Linked DNA regions of Rattus norvegicus. The protein of the gene in region 3 interacts with the protein of the main gene of each other region in a pairwise test. Links are inferred from orthologs where the notes say so. Each region holds a gene or a part of one and is shown on either strand. Other genes may lie near its edges.

Evidence for each region. The genes of interacting proteins can lie anywhere in the genome.
Region 1: the proteins of Cdk5rap3 (region 3) and Tspyl4 interact in binary tests that used the Homo sapiens proteins (3 or more experiments, as listed by UniProt). The two-hybrid records come from large-scale screens. The link is inferred for Rattus norvegicus from reciprocal best matches to the Homo sapiens genes CDK5RAP3 and TSPYL4.
Region 2: the proteins of Cdk5rap3 (region 3) and Disc1 interact in a two-hybrid assay, tested with the Homo sapiens proteins (2 studies listed by BioGRID and IntAct). The link is inferred for Rattus norvegicus from reciprocal best matches to the Homo sapiens genes CDK5RAP3 and DISC1.

Annotation. Positions count from the first base shown.
Region 1 is NC_086038.1:39,651,872-39,656,778, reverse strand, and holds Tspyl4 (testis-specific Y-encoded-like protein 4), read right to left. Parts: upstream 2,992-4,907; 5' UTR 2,935-2,991; coding exon 1,711-2,934; 3' UTR 995-1,710; downstream 1-994.
Region 2 is NC_086037.1:69,910,041-69,915,269, reverse strand, and holds the start of Disc1 (disrupted in schizophrenia 1 homolog), read right to left. Parts: upstream 3,295-5,229; 5' UTR 3,140-3,294; coding exon 3,085-3,139; intron 1-3,084. UniProt on the Homo sapiens protein: Involved in the regulation of multiple aspects of embryonic and adult neurogenesis. Required for neural progenitor proliferation in the ventrical/subventrical zone during embryonic brain development and in the adult dentate gyrus of the hippocampus.
Region 3 is NC_086028.1:82,396,976-82,402,232, forward strand, and holds the start of Cdk5rap3 (CDK5 regulatory subunit-associated protein 3), read right to left. Parts: upstream 3,027-5,257; 5' UTR 2,930-3,026; coding exon 2,924-2,929; intron 2,738-2,923; coding exon 2,692-2,737; intron 318-2,691; exon of another isoform or gene 236-317; coding exon 104-235; intron 1-103. UniProt on the Homo sapiens protein: Substrate adapter of E3 ligase complexes mediating ufmylation, the covalent attachment of the ubiquitin-like modifier UFM1 to substrate proteins, and which is involved in various processes, such as ribosome recycling and reticulophagy (also called ER-phagy).

The DNA of each region.
Region 1 (4,907 bases), on a different chromosome or scaffold from region 3:
ATTATCAACCCAGAGTTTAAGAAACACAAATTTACTGGTAAAATGGAGGGAGGACTGGAGGTAATCTGCCTTGAAATTTTCAGACATTGCTCTGGGTAGGGCGAGAGTCAGAGCAGTGAGAGATTTTGAGTCTACTTTACAGTACCTTTTCCTGCCTGCACTTAACCAAAGGGAGGACAAATTAAAAAAAAAAAAACAAAAAAACTGTTGTATGTTTTGTTTTTCTGTCTCTGGGCTGCAACTGCTTCAAAGAGAAAGAAGGGAGGAAGGAAAGAGAGGAGCCAAAGAGAGAAAGGCAGAGCAAGCCTCGTGTGCCCCAAAGGATTTCTAACTGCCCCAACCTAGCCAATTTTGACTTAACCAGAGTGGGTGTGAACACAGGAAGAGGGGGAGTTACCTGTCAAAGTTGCCCAGATTAGGAATAATTTGTTGGTGAGGGCTCAGAAGAACTAACTTCTAGAATGGAGCCACTTAAGCTTAGCTTGGGCACTGCCACATGTGACTACAGATTCTGCCCAGCAGCTAACCGAGCCACGGGAACTGATTCAGAAGGGGGTCCTGTGTGCTGCCTAGGAACTTAGGTCTTTAGACAGTTCCTGAGGAACTGCTTGGACCTGTGCCAATCCAACCAGGAGAGAAGCAGTGTGCAATTATACAGGTTCCCATAGCCCTTATTTTGATTCCCTGGACCAATTCCTTTCCCTCTACCTTTTCTGCACTGACTCCTTCCAGTTTCCAATCCAACAAGACTCCAGTGTTTCTTCAATTCCTGTACAATTCATAAACTGAGCAACAGATTTTTCACCTCTCATTTATGATCCATGAACACATACACAAAGAGCACAAATGTGCGTACACACACACACACACACACACACACACACACACACACACACACAGCCTTCCCCAACAACTCTACCGCAGGACAGAAATGCAAGTTAAACTGGGTCAAAGTCTATTCCCTTTAAAGGTTTTTGTTTTCATTTCTTTTCTCTTTTTTTTTTTGTGTTGGGGGTTAGAAATATCAGACAGTCAGTAGCTGATCCAAGCTGATCATGATGCATTGGTACAAGAACAATGTGGTGACAGAAAACACTCCTCACCTAATACTTCACTCTTACCTAGTAGTCACCTACCAGCCACCTGCTCATTCTATAGATAAAAAGCAGGGTAAATGGCAAAGGCCCAGGAAGACAGCTAGGATCAGTTGGTGACAGCTTGGAATGTCCTGTTGGGCTGATGGCTGGATTGGGATACAGTCCCATCTTGCAGTGGCGAAACTCACAGTTCTTCACAGTACATAGATATCGGGAACACAGTATGAAATCTGGCTAGTTCTTGGTAAGGATATGTCAAGCTTTCTTTTGATAGAGAACCACTTTTAAAAAAGAAAACAAAAAACCTAGAAGATCACAGACAGGAACCAAGCCATGCAAAGAAAAGCAGTACAAACTACAGCACGTGAGCTTGGCATAGAAGCAGTTTGGAGGCCATGCACTTGGAACACCATTAACACTATGCAGGACATCGTGATGGCCAAGAGAAAGAAGAGCAAAGACTTGGAAGCCACAACCTTGAAACTACCGGAGACTTAGAAGAACCAAAGGACACAATCCAAGGAAGAGAAAGCAGACAGAAGGCTGCATGCTGCTAGCCAAGCTGAGAAGGTGGTAAGGACTCTTCTGTAAGAGCTTCTCACGAGGGCAGAGCTTAGCCAGACTGGAACCTGAAGGACCTGGGACTCTCCACTGGCTGCCTTGGTGGGACTCGAACTCCTCTGCGTGGCCCATCGCCCATCAGGTAGTATTGTAGGGGATTGGACCAAAGCTCCCCTTTGATAATTTCAGCTATTCTGTCGAATTCTAGGAGGCTGTGGTCTGAGAACCAATTGAAGAAACTGGGAATCGTGTTCCCCTCTCTATTCCTGTGGATATGGGCCTGGGGTTCTTGACCCCGGTGCCAGCGGATTGGCGTAGAGAGCGACACCACTCGACCTGAGGATCTGCGCTCGTACTCTTTGACCAGCCCCTCATTTCGGAAGTAGGGGTTGCTTTGGAAGATGAACTTAAATTTGCACCCTGCTCTTGGGTGCTTAAGCTCCTCCACCTCTAAATTGATCATGTACCTCATCATGTCTTCATCTTGGCCACTGATCATCGGTGACAGTTGCGGGTGGTTCCGAAACGCTGTGACCCAGAAACCTGGGATGTTTTGGATGATGAAACTTCGGCGCTGCATGTGGAGCCTTCTCATCCGCCCAAATTTGCGTTCCAGCTGGAGGAAGGCCCTGTCAGCTTGCGCATTTACATTTGACAGCTCTTGATCGATGGCTTCCAGGGAGTCCATGCAGTTATTGATCTTAGGGGCTCTAGGACGAGTCTCGTCTTTCCCTCCTCCAGCTGCCTTTTTTTCTTTCTGCACCCCCTTCTTTTCCTGCATTGCCGCCCCTGCTTCTCCTTCCTTGCCTGTAGTCGCAGAGATGGCGCCCTTGGTAGTCATTACCTTGGTCTTCTTCGGCCCTGGCATCATCTGCGACCCCAGGCCCACTGCACCACTGGCTTCCAGAGTTTTTGGCTTAGCAGGGCTGAGCGGCCCTGCAAGCTGACAGCCATTTTTATTGCTGTCGTTGGCTGCCACAGACGCCAAGGGTGCGTCCCCACACTTTGATGAAGACAGACCATCCTCCAGCCCCTCTCCCGCTGCGGCAGCACAGCCATTCTCAGCCACTCGGAGGCAGAGCTGGGGGTCGCAGTGCTCCGAATCGGGGGACGCGCCTCCCTCCGCACCGGCCTCACCTGCAGCCTCCATCTCCCGCACCGTGTCAGTTTCCTCGCTGAGCGGCTGGTCTTGCTTCAGATCCAGATCTTCCGGGACAAGGGCGGAGGTCGAGGTGTTAGCGAGAGGGAGCTCGTTGTTCCCTTCCACGCCGTTCATTTTGGCAGCTGACAGCCCTGCAGAGAAGCTTTCCTTGTTCTCTGCAGACGCAGGGCAGCACCGCAGTGAGTGCTTAGCTCCACCCCTTTTTCTTCTGGGCTAGTGCTACCATGGCAACCTGTGACGTCAGGGTACCAGCTGCAACTAACCATAGCGCGAGAACTCACAGCCCAGGTAATTTCTTTTGTCAATCAAGTGTGTTCTTTTTGTCTTTTTAAATGATGCTGTAAATTTAATCTCATCTGGGAAATTGAGTATTTACATAAATGGATGCCTAATTATTTCTTATATCTATTCGTCTCTAAATTAATTTCGATGGTATCTAAACCATGTCTCAAAATAAATTTTAAAATACAACCTATTGTCTATTAAGTTCAGATTTCACCAAGCTTCTCAGGAATAGAGAAGCGAATTCACCAGCTCACAGGCCTTCCTTTTTTCGGACACAGATTCGATTCATGGTGACTACTGAAGAATTGCGCAGAATCCGATTTTGGAAAAGGAAAAAAAAAGTGTCGTTGCTGTTTTTATTTTCAAGCAAAGATATTCCAAAGGTTAATTTCGATTTCTGCAGAAATTTTGATGTTGTATACATTGGCCAACATCGACAAAGCAACTGGATATTTCTTCACTTTTAAATAAATCGTAAACTGCTCCTTACAGGTGGCCACAACGCGTGTCATGTACAGAGTTAGTAACCCTTGAGAATTGCTGAAGGAGATATAATCTTAGAGGATTTTAATTTCTAAAATGATACATATTAATCCCCCTTTGCCTTGGGTTATGATCGTAGGTTCTGCTTCGTGCCTGTGGGTATGACGCCAACTAATGTTTGCCCAAATTTGCCTTTGTGAAGGTAGAATCAATCAATAATGTTCTTTCAGACACTTAAGCAATTGTGTTTTTAAAATATCTACTTAAAAAGGAAGTAATCAATTTAGAAAATGTATTTATTTATTCAGTCCTTTATTCAAATAAATTATATATATATATATATAATTTATTTGAGCATCACTGTCTGTTTGCTAAAGTCTGAGAATGAGGATGTTAATCCTTAGGGATAGGAAAGATCAAAGAGACTTAAATTTTGCAAATTTAACTTTTCAATTCCTATTAGAACCAGCTCTTTGCCCTGGGAAATTTAATTCTGCCCAGAGTATGGCTTCGCTACAATAAGAGTCTTAGAATAGGGGTTTAAGAAAAACAACATTACCCAAAGAACTCTAATGAGTGACATGATGGCATCTGGTTCAACCAAGACTCTGAGGTGATAAGAACGACACATGGCATATCATGCAGTTTGATTTTTTAACTCCAAAGTTGAGTGTCCTTATTCAAAGAGAGTATGATGCCCAGACTGTGCTCTTCCTAGCCCCTATCCCAACAAAAGGGGGAAAAAAATCAATTGATCAATTATCTAAATAAAATAAAAATATACACACAAATAATTATTTTTCTGTCTCCCTTTCCTTTTTCTCTTAACAAATGTTCTTTTGCCTTATTGAGGTGAAATCAATGTATCATTAACTTTCTTTGTAAACATATAAACACTGTGCTGTAATCGACGCTGTGACTCTTGAGTTACTCTTTAACCTTACACTGCTTCTTTACCTAAAGACTCTTCACGCTGTTGAAAGAATAACAAACACTCTTGGACTTTAGCCTAAAACAAAACACAGAATCATCAAGTGCTGAGCCAAGGTACAGGACAATGTAGGAATAAGAAAAAAGTTTGCTATTTCATCACTTCATAAAAATGAGAAAATCATAAGTGGACTTCTTTCTCATATATATATATATATATATATATATATACATATATATATATATATATCAGTGTTTTAAAGATTTGTTTTTCTACTGCTGGAAACACCCCTGCTTATATTATATTTATCATATTATATATTACATAATAATTTATATTGACTATTTTTCTTGAAATTCTTGAAATTCAGTATATTATTACACATATA
Region 2 (5,229 bases), on a different chromosome or scaffold from region 3:
CCAGGGATAGAGGCCTCAGTCTGTCTGCTCTGGTGAGCCCATGGTTTTGATGTCCTCTTGGTGAACTACATCTAGTTCAGAGGAACTGGGAATTCCTTTTGTAACAGAGCCCCAGCCTGGGTTCTCCAATCTGAAACGCCTCCTTTCATCTTGGGTAGCACTGAGGTCCCTTCTGCCTGTCCTAGGACTCTCAGCGAAGTGACCGTCTGACAAAAAATCTCCTCCTTACAGGCTACCGCCCCGCCCCGCCCCGCCTGCCTCTGGCAAGTTGTTAAAATCGAACATCCAGTAGACCGAACTTTGAGATTCAGACGAAGGTCTCACAACGCATTCTTTCAAAGTTTAAGACCATTTGACTTGGTTAAGTTTTTATAGTTCATTCTTCTTCTGCAAGAAGATATCACAAAATAGAACCTTATAAAATAAAAGATGAAATTAAAGTGTTTGCAAAGTTCTTTCTGCAGGAGGCAGAGGGAGTAGGGGGCTCAGGTCTCTCTAAGGGACTGGCCACTGGGAGCAACACAATGACTGTGTGAGAGACACAAATTGAATTTGGTGATGTTTGTTTGTTGAGGGGAGGAGAGGCACAAAGGTGGGAGGGTGGCAGGAATAGGAAGTGAGTGGGGTGGGATGCATTGCATTTGTATAAAATTCCCAAATAATCAATAAAAATATTACATTAGGGGGAAGGCGAAGTTCTTCCTGTGATTTACTCTCATTTTGTTAGGGTCTGCAATTATGAAAAATGCCAGCTAGAGGTAGGACGGTGTGCTGAAGTGCTCACCTGCTTGTCTAGCATTGCACAAAGTCCTAGGTGTGGTCCCTAGTACTGCATGTAGGTAGGTAAGCAGATGGCTGGAGATAGGTAGGTAGGTAGATAGATAGATAGATAGATAGATAGATAGATAGATAGATGATAGACATATAGATAATAGAGAGATAGATGATAGATAGATGTAGATAGATAGATAATAGACACATAGATAATAGATAGAGAGAGATAGATGATAGATAGATAGATAGATAGATAGATAGATAGATAGATAGTAGACATAGATAATAGATAGGTAGGTAGGTAGATAGAGGTAGATAGATGTTAGATAGATGTTAGATAGATAGATGATAGATTAATGATAGACATATAGATAATAGATAGATAGTAGAGGTAGATAGATGATAGATATAAATAGATGATAGATAGAGAGATAGATAGATAGATGATAGATAGAGGTAGATAGATGTAGATAGATAGATAGATAGATAGATAGATAGATAGATAGATGACAAAATAGGTATAAAAGGCAGAAACAGACCAAGCATTGCCTTTGACCAGAAAAGGTCTACTCTCAACCTGGGCTCTACCTCATGGCTTCCCTTCAGCCAGTGATTGGAGACACCAGCACCTGGTTTCTGAGCCTCAGTCCTTGTTTAACAACCAAAGCCACAGGCAGGTGACTAGCCCTTGCCTCATGGAAGAAAAGATGAGAATGGTAGCACCAGCCCTCACAGGTTTGAGGAGGACCTCATCCTAGGGCAGGAGCAGGTGCCTGGCCCATGCATTTTCTGCAAAGGTGGCACCAGCCCCAGTTCCAGATGTTCTGCTTCTCCTGATCCTAGGGCAACACTCAGTGTGAACGGTGCTTTCTCTTTCTGTCAACAGAAGAGAGAACCGAGGCTGGGAGAGGCAGCTCAGAATGCAGGGTTCTCATCCAGGGCTCTTTTTGCTGTGAGCAGAGTCCTGGCTAAACCTTGACAGTCTCCACATCAGATGCCAAATGTCTTTTAAAATATCCTGTAATTCAGACGCTAACTAACTCACACTGGCATTCCTGTATTACCCGTAATTATTAGGTCTTGTACGGTCAAAAAAATAAATAAATACTTAGGGACCCATGCGTAGTGGAGCACACCTGTAATCCCAGCGCTTGGGAGGCCAAGGCTAGCGAATTGGAGGCCAGCCTAGGGTATGCAGGGGATTTAAGGCTAACCTGGGCAACTAAAAGATTTTTGAGAGCTTGCTGTGTATCTCAGACACATTAAACCAGGGGTTTAATGCCCTCCTACCACATTAAACCCTTTAAAAACCCGACCAAGTCGGGAGGAAAATCAGCTCCATTTTGCAAATTGAAAAACTGAGGCAAGCCCGAGTCTAGGACGCATGTGCAGGAGACTCTCACCCTACACTCACCCATCAACCCTGTGTTTTCTAACTCCCATTTGCAAAAAAAAAATTCTTCATAGAACCTAGTTAAGGAGACAGGCAAGCGGGTGGCTAGTGCCCCTTTCACAAATGGGCAAACTGAGGCTCCAAGAGCTAAAATAAGAGCCTAAGTCCCTTGCCCTCTCTCCTTCAGCACGGCACGCCCAAACTGCAAAGCCCAGTCTGGAGCTGGGCTCCCTGCTTGGTTTTTGTTTTTTTCTTGTTTTTGTTTTGTTTTGCTTTGCTTTGTTTTTCCGTTATTCTGGTTTGATTTGGGTTTTTGAGATAGCGTCTCAGGCTGTATTAGAAAGTGTCCGCAATCCTCCTGGCTCAGTCTCTTGCGTACTAGCAACAGAGGCGTGCGCCATCACATTCATTTCCTTGGTTTTCTGACAGTGAGTTGCGGAGGTCATTGTTGAAAAGCGGCCGCCCACTTAACTCGATGTCATCACTAGGGTTGGTAGGTGGCCCATGCTGACGGGGGAAAATGGAGTGGGTCCCCTCAGCCTGCGCTGCCCTGCGCGTCACAGTCCACACTCGGAAGTGGGCGGCGAGCAGCCCCACGGGAGGTGCGGGCTGCAGTTCCCACACCTCTCCCAACCTCGCCCTGCGTCCCCACAGGGTCCGCGCCGGCCACGCGAGAGAGAGTCCCAGGACCGAGCTGCACTCAGGCGCTGCGGACGCCGCCCTCCACCGACTGCGCCCCAGGCCGCCAGGCTCCCCCCAGCGGGGACGCGCTTGGACGGGAGCTGCAGTGGCAGCCGGAGACGCGACAGCCCGCACCCGGCACGCCCCGCTCCCTGCCTCGGTTTCCCTCCCCCGCACCGGGGTGCGCCCGGATCTCGGCAGGCCGCGCTCGCCTTCCGTCAGACCCCGGGCCCTACCTGGGCAGTGGCTCGGACTGTGGATCCAAGCGCCCCGGGAACCCGCGCCCTGCATCGTGCGGCTGGCTGCGCTCCGGACGGCGGCAACGGTGGTGACTGCGACCGCGGAGGCGGCGGGAAACGGGCAGGGGGCCGAGCCGAGGGCTGGCTCCTTCCTCCTGCCCAGGACCGCCGCTTCCTCTCCAGCTTCGGCCCCCTCGCACACGCGCGCCGCCCCTCGCGGCTCCCAGACCGCAGCGCGCAGAAAGTTTTGCTTTTCACTTGAAGGAAACCAAGGAGGGGAAGTGTGATGGGGCAGGGTGACCAGGGACCGAAAAACTGGGCGCTTCCCCGACCCTGGGAGTAAAAGGCAGGGTGGACAAGAGAGGGACTTCTTCCTACCAAGTGACAGATGACAGGTTGGGGGGTGGGAGCAGCTGTTAAAAATGACTTGAGGATCGCTGGCAGCGCGGGGCTGGCCAGGAGCACACAAGCCTGTGCCAAGCTCCTAGCAGCTGGCTCACCTCCACCATCCCTTCCCTTTGGCTGCTCCAGCAAAGCACCTGCTACAGGACACTGGGTCCAGGAAGTGCCAGTCACGGGTAACCTGGCCCTCTGGACCCGGAGGCAAAAATAAACCTACAAAACTGAACTGTGGGGAGTAGTCAGCCTGAAGCCAGGAGGCCTGGCTGTGGGTGGAACGTGGGGGAGGAGTGGGACGCTAGGAAGAAGCATGGGAGAGTTTCTACAGGAAGTGAGGAACCTGTGACCACTGGAAGACAAGGCCCTGGAGAGGTGGGGCAGCCAGTTGCCTGTTACCAGGAGCCTTAACGTTAGCATGGGTGGATGGGGCTTGAAGTTGATAAAGACATGAGCAGAGAGTCTGGATTTAGTGAAAATCCAGTTGGAAAAGGGGCTGTCAGTGTCCTAGTTAGCTTTACCTGTCCGTTTGACACAGCCCAGGGCTAGGGTTAGGGCAGATTGTGTCTGTAAGAAATGTCTTGACAGTTAACTGGCCTTCGAAGGCCCAGCCCACTGTGGGCGGCACCATTACCTAGGTCTTGAACTAACCAAGAAAGCTAACTGAACTGAAGCCCATCTATGAGCCAGCTGGCAAACAGCATCCTCTGCGGTTCCTGCTGTACCTGCTTGGCAGTGAGGTGAGCTCTTGGTTGGAGGTTAATGCTGTGTGTTATAGTAAGCAGGCCTGCCTTCAGGCTCCTGCCTTGGCTCCTCTCAGTGGTGGCCTGTGATCAAGTGGTAAGCTAAAATTAACCCTCTCCTCCCCCAAGAGGTATTCCATAGCAAATGCAGATGAATTGGCCAGCCTGCCATTGAATGCTCTCAGGTATCTCTGACTTGCACCCAAGGATCGCTAGGAATATCTCTGAATACATAACATAAACTGTCTTAAAACGGGCCGGGAAGCTGGCCTGACAGCTAAGAGAACATACTGTGGACTGGAGAGATGGCTCAGTGGTTAAGAGCACTGACTGCTCTTCCTGAGGTCCTGAGTTCAATTCCTAGCAACCACATGATGACTCACAACCATCTGTAATGGGATCCGATGCCCTCTTCTGGTGTGTCTGAGGACAGCTACAATGTACTTATCTATAATAAATAAATATTTAAAAAAATAAACAAATAATTGAGAGAGAGAGAGAGAGAGAGAGAGAGAGAGAGAGAGAGAGAACATACTGGTCCTGCAGAATCCTGCAGAGGACCAGAGTTCAGATTCACAGCATCTATCCTGAGTAACTGCAGCTCCAGAGGTCTGATCAAACACCCTCGTCTGGCCATGTCTGTCTGTCTGTCTCTCTCTCTCTCTCACGCGCACACGCAAACACAGAGAGAGAGACAGACAGACAGACAGACAGACACATACACAAAATGAAAATAAAAGTTTTAAAACTTACAATATCATCAGAATCAGATTTTTTTTAATTTGGTCACCATGTTGTTAGTGAGCGCCTGTGCACACGCACGCCCTCAGGTGCACAGGCATAAAAATGGAGATTGTGTTTCATCTGTGAGTGCTCACCAGGAGGTGGCCTCAGAGAGATGGCGTGTTCTGGGGATAGCAGCCCACCTCTTTCTCCAGCTGCCCTGTTGTGACCCCCATGGGCTCGTGAACATGGTGGCCAGGGCAGCTATGGGATGGATGTG
Region 3 (5,257 bases):
GCCAGCATCTCTGACCCAGAAAAAAAAACTCTCGCTCTGGGGTCCGCCCTGGAGGTTCAACAAGGGAATGTCTCCCGGAAGGAGGGGGCTCCAAATCACTCACAGGAACCAGAGAGCAGCTGGGCAATCTCTTGGCTCTCTGGCATGTCCTGGATGGCGGTGTTGATCTTTTCCCGGATGGTCAGCACCAGGCTTTGCCATTTTAAGTTGCAGTGTCTTCTGTCCACCAGCCAATCTGCATGAGAACCAGCAGGTCACCATGGTCCGCCATACCACTAACTCCCCACTGGGAATTCATCAGTTCAAGTGTCGGCCTACTGGATATTGAACAAAAGTCTTTGTATTGGCTGAGGTATCAGAGAAAGAGAGAGAGAGAGAGAGAGAGAGAGAGAGAGAGAGAGAGAGAGAGAGAGAAGGGGATGGGAAGAGATGAAGAGACAGACAGACTCAGAGAGATGCTTGGGCTAAACAGTCTCTGGCGCCCCAACTTTATCCCCGGTATGAGTTTTACAGAGCAACCGCCTTAACACGGGGATAAAGAAAAACTTTAAATTGGTCCTGACATGAAAGTGCCACTTTTGACCATTCTAAATTCTCCATAATATTTTCGCTTCTTGTGTAATTATATCTTTCTTGTTGACAGAGGTGCTGCTCAACTTCCATTTCCTCGGGGCTGGGATTAACCACGACAATGGAAAACACAAGGTGGTTATGCCAAGTACCGGATGAACGAACAACTGTAAAGCCCCTAACGTAACACTACCTCGCCCCAAAGGCTGGCCTGTTAGTTTTTTTTGTTTTTTTTTTTTTTTTTTTGAGACAGGGTTTCTCTGTGTAGCCCTGGCTGTCCTCCTGGAACTCACTATATAGATCAGGTTGCCCTCAATCTCACGGAAAGCCTCTGCCTCCCCAGTGCTGGGTTAAAGGAGTACACTACACTGCCCGGCCTAGTCACTGGTCTGTTTTTAACTCTGAAGAACCACTCTGCCACATGACTACACTGTAGCTTATGTGTTTTGAGGGCTAACAGCTATGATCATTTCCTAAGGAGAGAAACCAAGGTTTTATGGTTAGATGGTCCTGGGGTCTAATTATCAAGTTCTTAAAGACATTTTTAATTAAAAACTTAATTATATTGTTTAGTTATTCAGTGTGCACATATGCGTGTGTGTACCCATGTGCCACGGCTCACAAGTGGAGATCAGACGACAACTTCCGAGAGCCAGTTCTCTCCTTCCATCACGGGGTCCTGATCCAGAACTCAGGTCATCAGGTTTGACGGTAAGAACATTTACCTACTGTGCAGCCATCTTGCTGGCTTTCAGTTTCTATCTCTCTGTGCTTCCGTTTCCCCACACATAGGATGATGTGCTATGCACCGTGCCTCATGTACCACAGTGACTCAATGAACCTCAGGGATTTCGTTTTGAAAGGGACAAGTATAAAAGTGGCAGGGGGTGTGGAACAAATGCTCAGTGCATGCTGTCCCACTGGTTCCTCTGAGGACTTGAGGACAAGCTCCCACACTAGGGTAAACACAGCGGGTGTCCACACACTGGGTGCCTTGCACTTGGGAGGCTAAGACAGTGCCCGTCAAAGGACCGAACGCCCCCTCTCAATTTCAAAGGTGGCCTTGTTAACAAGTCTGTCAACTGGTCAACTTATCTCAAACAACTATAGTGTCAGAAATTGTCTCTGATGAGTTCCTCTCAAGTGGTCAGAAAGGAAGACAGCCCACGTCAGAATTCCTACAAGGGGCTAAGGTCCGCAAACACCCTCTCAAGGATGTGATTAACAGTGGACTGGCGAATCTGTAAACATTTCGAGTGCCAGGGGCTGTGCACATGTCCAGAAGTGACAGATTAAGGGATGTAAACCAGATGCAGAGACAACCTGGCCACTAAAGGGTCTTCTTGTCTCTCTGTCAGGGTCTCTCCATGTAGTTCTGGCTGCCCTGGAGCTTGCTATGGAGACCAGGCTGGCTCTGCCTCCTGAGTGCTAGGACTAAAGGCTTTTTGGGGGATGAATTCGGGGTAAGTGTTCATTGTTAGCAAATACATAGCTTGGAACTTGCTATGTAAACCAGGCTGTCTTGAGAACTGCCCAATCCTCCTGCCTCAGTTGTCTCCCAAGTATTATGGTTACCAGCATGAGCTACCATGGCTGGCATAAAAGGTCTGTATCTGAGTTTGAAGGCCCTTTTCTCCCTAAATCCAAAGAGAGATAGAAATTTATTAAATAAGTGGGAAGGGTTTACCCACCCAAAATAATGCAAAAAGCATGAAGACAGAACCAAACAGACAAGTTCCAAACGGATCAGCCATTTGGTAATTGTCCATCTTTAACACTATCCACTCGTCCTGTGTTCCTGAATACGTTTTGATACTACGTTATAAATGTTAAAAGTAGAAAATACGGGGGTTGGGGATTTAGCTCAGTGGTAGAGCGCTTGCCTAGGTAGCGCAAGACCCTGGGTTCGGTCCCCAGCTCCGAAAAAAAGAACCAAAAAAAAAAAAAAAGTAGAAAATACGGAGCCAGTACAGACTTTCCATGCTTCCTTCCTTGCAGAGCAAACAGGTCGCTAGACTAAGGCATCTCAACCAGAACTTTGACAGCTCCTGGCTGCTAGTGACAGGGGGCAACTAGCAGACCTCCCCCGACAGCCGAACGCGCGGGGGCGCCCTCTCCTACCGAGCAGCTTGCTGGTCTGGATGTCGATGGGCACGTGCTGATGGTCCTGGTGGGAAATACAACCGGGAGGGAGGCGTGAACGCAGGCAGGCGATGTGCCTCGCGCGCGCTCATTCCACGAACCCAACCGCCACCCTTCAGGGGCAGAGCGCCCGACTGAGGACGGGAGGGCATCAAGAGGCAGGACAGGAGTCCCATAACAGACCCAGTTTCTCCAGCCCTGGTCCCCACACCTGCATCCTTTTTCCACTTCCGCTTCCGGCCAAAGACCCCGGCCCGGCCCAGCACCAATCCTGAGCCGGCGTGCCTGAGCCTCAATTCAGAAACAAACCGGCCTCCTTCAGCCACGTCGCCGTCTTCAGCGGAGCCAATCCAAGCCTACGCCCCGCCCCTCTGCCGAAAGCCCCGCCCACCAAGAGGTTCTGATTGGCTGAGCACCGGAGGGCGGGAGAATAGGGAGTAGCCAATGGGAGATGAGAGGCGGGTACGGGCTAGGTGATTTCCAGGAAGAGGTGTTGCGCTTGCGCGATGGCAGTAGAGGGCGCCCAAGAGCCGGTGTAGTCTGCTTTCTCCGCTGTCAAGCGCGGATTCCTCTGTTAGAGAACGAACTCGTCCGCAGACAGGTCCTAGTGCCCTCCAGATGGCGTTTGAAAGTAGTTAAAACAATACTTTCTTCCCACCTTTTTCTCCCTTTACCACATATAGAACGTTGTGGGTCTCTTGAGGCTCTTGACACATTTTGTCCTCCCATTGGACGACCGGGAAAGGGAAGGGAGAGGGAAGTAACACTCGCATTGATTATTAGAGGAAAAGTTGCAGAGGGAAGGACGATGCCTGGAAAGGGTGTTCCTGATGGAAGAGACTGAACAAACTTTAAGGCCACAAGTGGTTCAGGGACAGGACAGGGAGACTGGCAAAATATACACGGTCCAACTTAAAGTGAAATGCAAGGTTCCTTGTTTACGACAGATTTCAAGAGGACACTATGCCGCAGGTCTCTGGCCTATGACTGATCTCAGGTCCACCTCTATGCAGTTAAATGTTTAAGGCAGTGACCGGGGAGAAGGCTGTAAAAATATAAGAATCATAACAAAGAGGGCCTCATTAAAGAGCTTGGACTTCACCCCTGCAGACATCGAGGAACCAGTGAAGGGTTCGGTACAAGGAAGGACATACATATATTGGTTAGAAGAACCAGTTAACGGGTGATAAGACTGGGGACAGAGCAATTAGGAGCCTGTAAGGCAGAGGTTGGGGCCTCTAGTCAGAAGCTGTAGGGAGAAGATAAGCAGAAGTTGAAAGACATTTAGGAGGAAAATGGACAGGGGTTGGTAATGGATTGGCCAAATGCCTGAGGAGGCCTCAAAGATGACACTCAAGCTAGGCAGTGGTGGCGCACACCTTTAATCCCAGCACTGGAGGCAGAGGCAGTTAAACCTCTGAGTTCAAATTCAGCCTGGTCTAAAGCTAGTTCCAGCAAAGCCAGACCTACACAGAGAAACCCTGTCTCCAAAAACAAAACACACACACACACACACACACACACACACACACACACACACACACGTGCACGCCACTTAAGTGTTGAGTGGGAGTGCCCTCTCCTGAGACAGCGACACTGGATGTGGACCATGTGCTGGAGAAGAGGGGCTTTGAACTTGTGGAGTTGGCAATGCTGGGAAACCGTCAAATGGAAAGTGTATAGAAGGTACTTGGGTCTGTATTTAGATTGCAGACAGGCTGGAAAGAAGGACAGCTTGGAAAGTCACACACTGAGTTGTCCTGGGACAGTGGCAACTCCGTTCAAGGGAGGCCTTCAGATTTGAACGAGATGTGGAAAGGCTGAAGGAAGAGGGTGAGAGAAAGCCATAAGAAATCCCAGGGACCCTGCAGGTCTGGGTATGGCATTTCTTTTTTTTTTTTTTTTTTTTTTTTTTTTTTGGTTCTTTTTTTTCGGAGCTGGGGACCGAACCCAGGGCCTTGCGCTTCCTAGGTAAGCACTCTACCACTGAGCTAAATCCCCAGCCCCGGTATGGCATTTCTAAATGCTGTCTTCCTTCTTCATTTACCTTCCAACGCAACACAATACCCAGGGCTTGGTAGATTTTGGACTGCCTGGTGTGCTGCTATAGTGGGAAGACCTAGATTCTGGCCCTGTGAGATTTTGGACGGTTTCCACACTTCTCCAATAGCCATGGTTCTTTCAAGGTGGAGATAACGCCATCCTATCTCAGGGTGTTTCTATTTAGGGGCTTAAATAAATAAACACAGAAAGGTACAGAGCTCAAGTAAGGATGGAGCTCAGTTGGTAGAGTGCTTGCCTGTGTGTGTGAACCCCTGGGTTCCAGTGCTTGCCTGTGTGAGTGAACCCCTGGGTTCCAGTGCTTGCCTGTGTGCATGAACCCCTGGGTTCCAGTGCTTGCCTGTGTGAGTGAACCCCTGGGTTCCAGTGCTTGCCTGTGTGAGTGAACCCCTGAGTTCTGTCCCTAGCACCACATAGGTGTGGTGGCAGATTGGTAATCCCAGCATGTGGAAGATAGAGGCAGGAGGCTCAGATATTCAAGGTC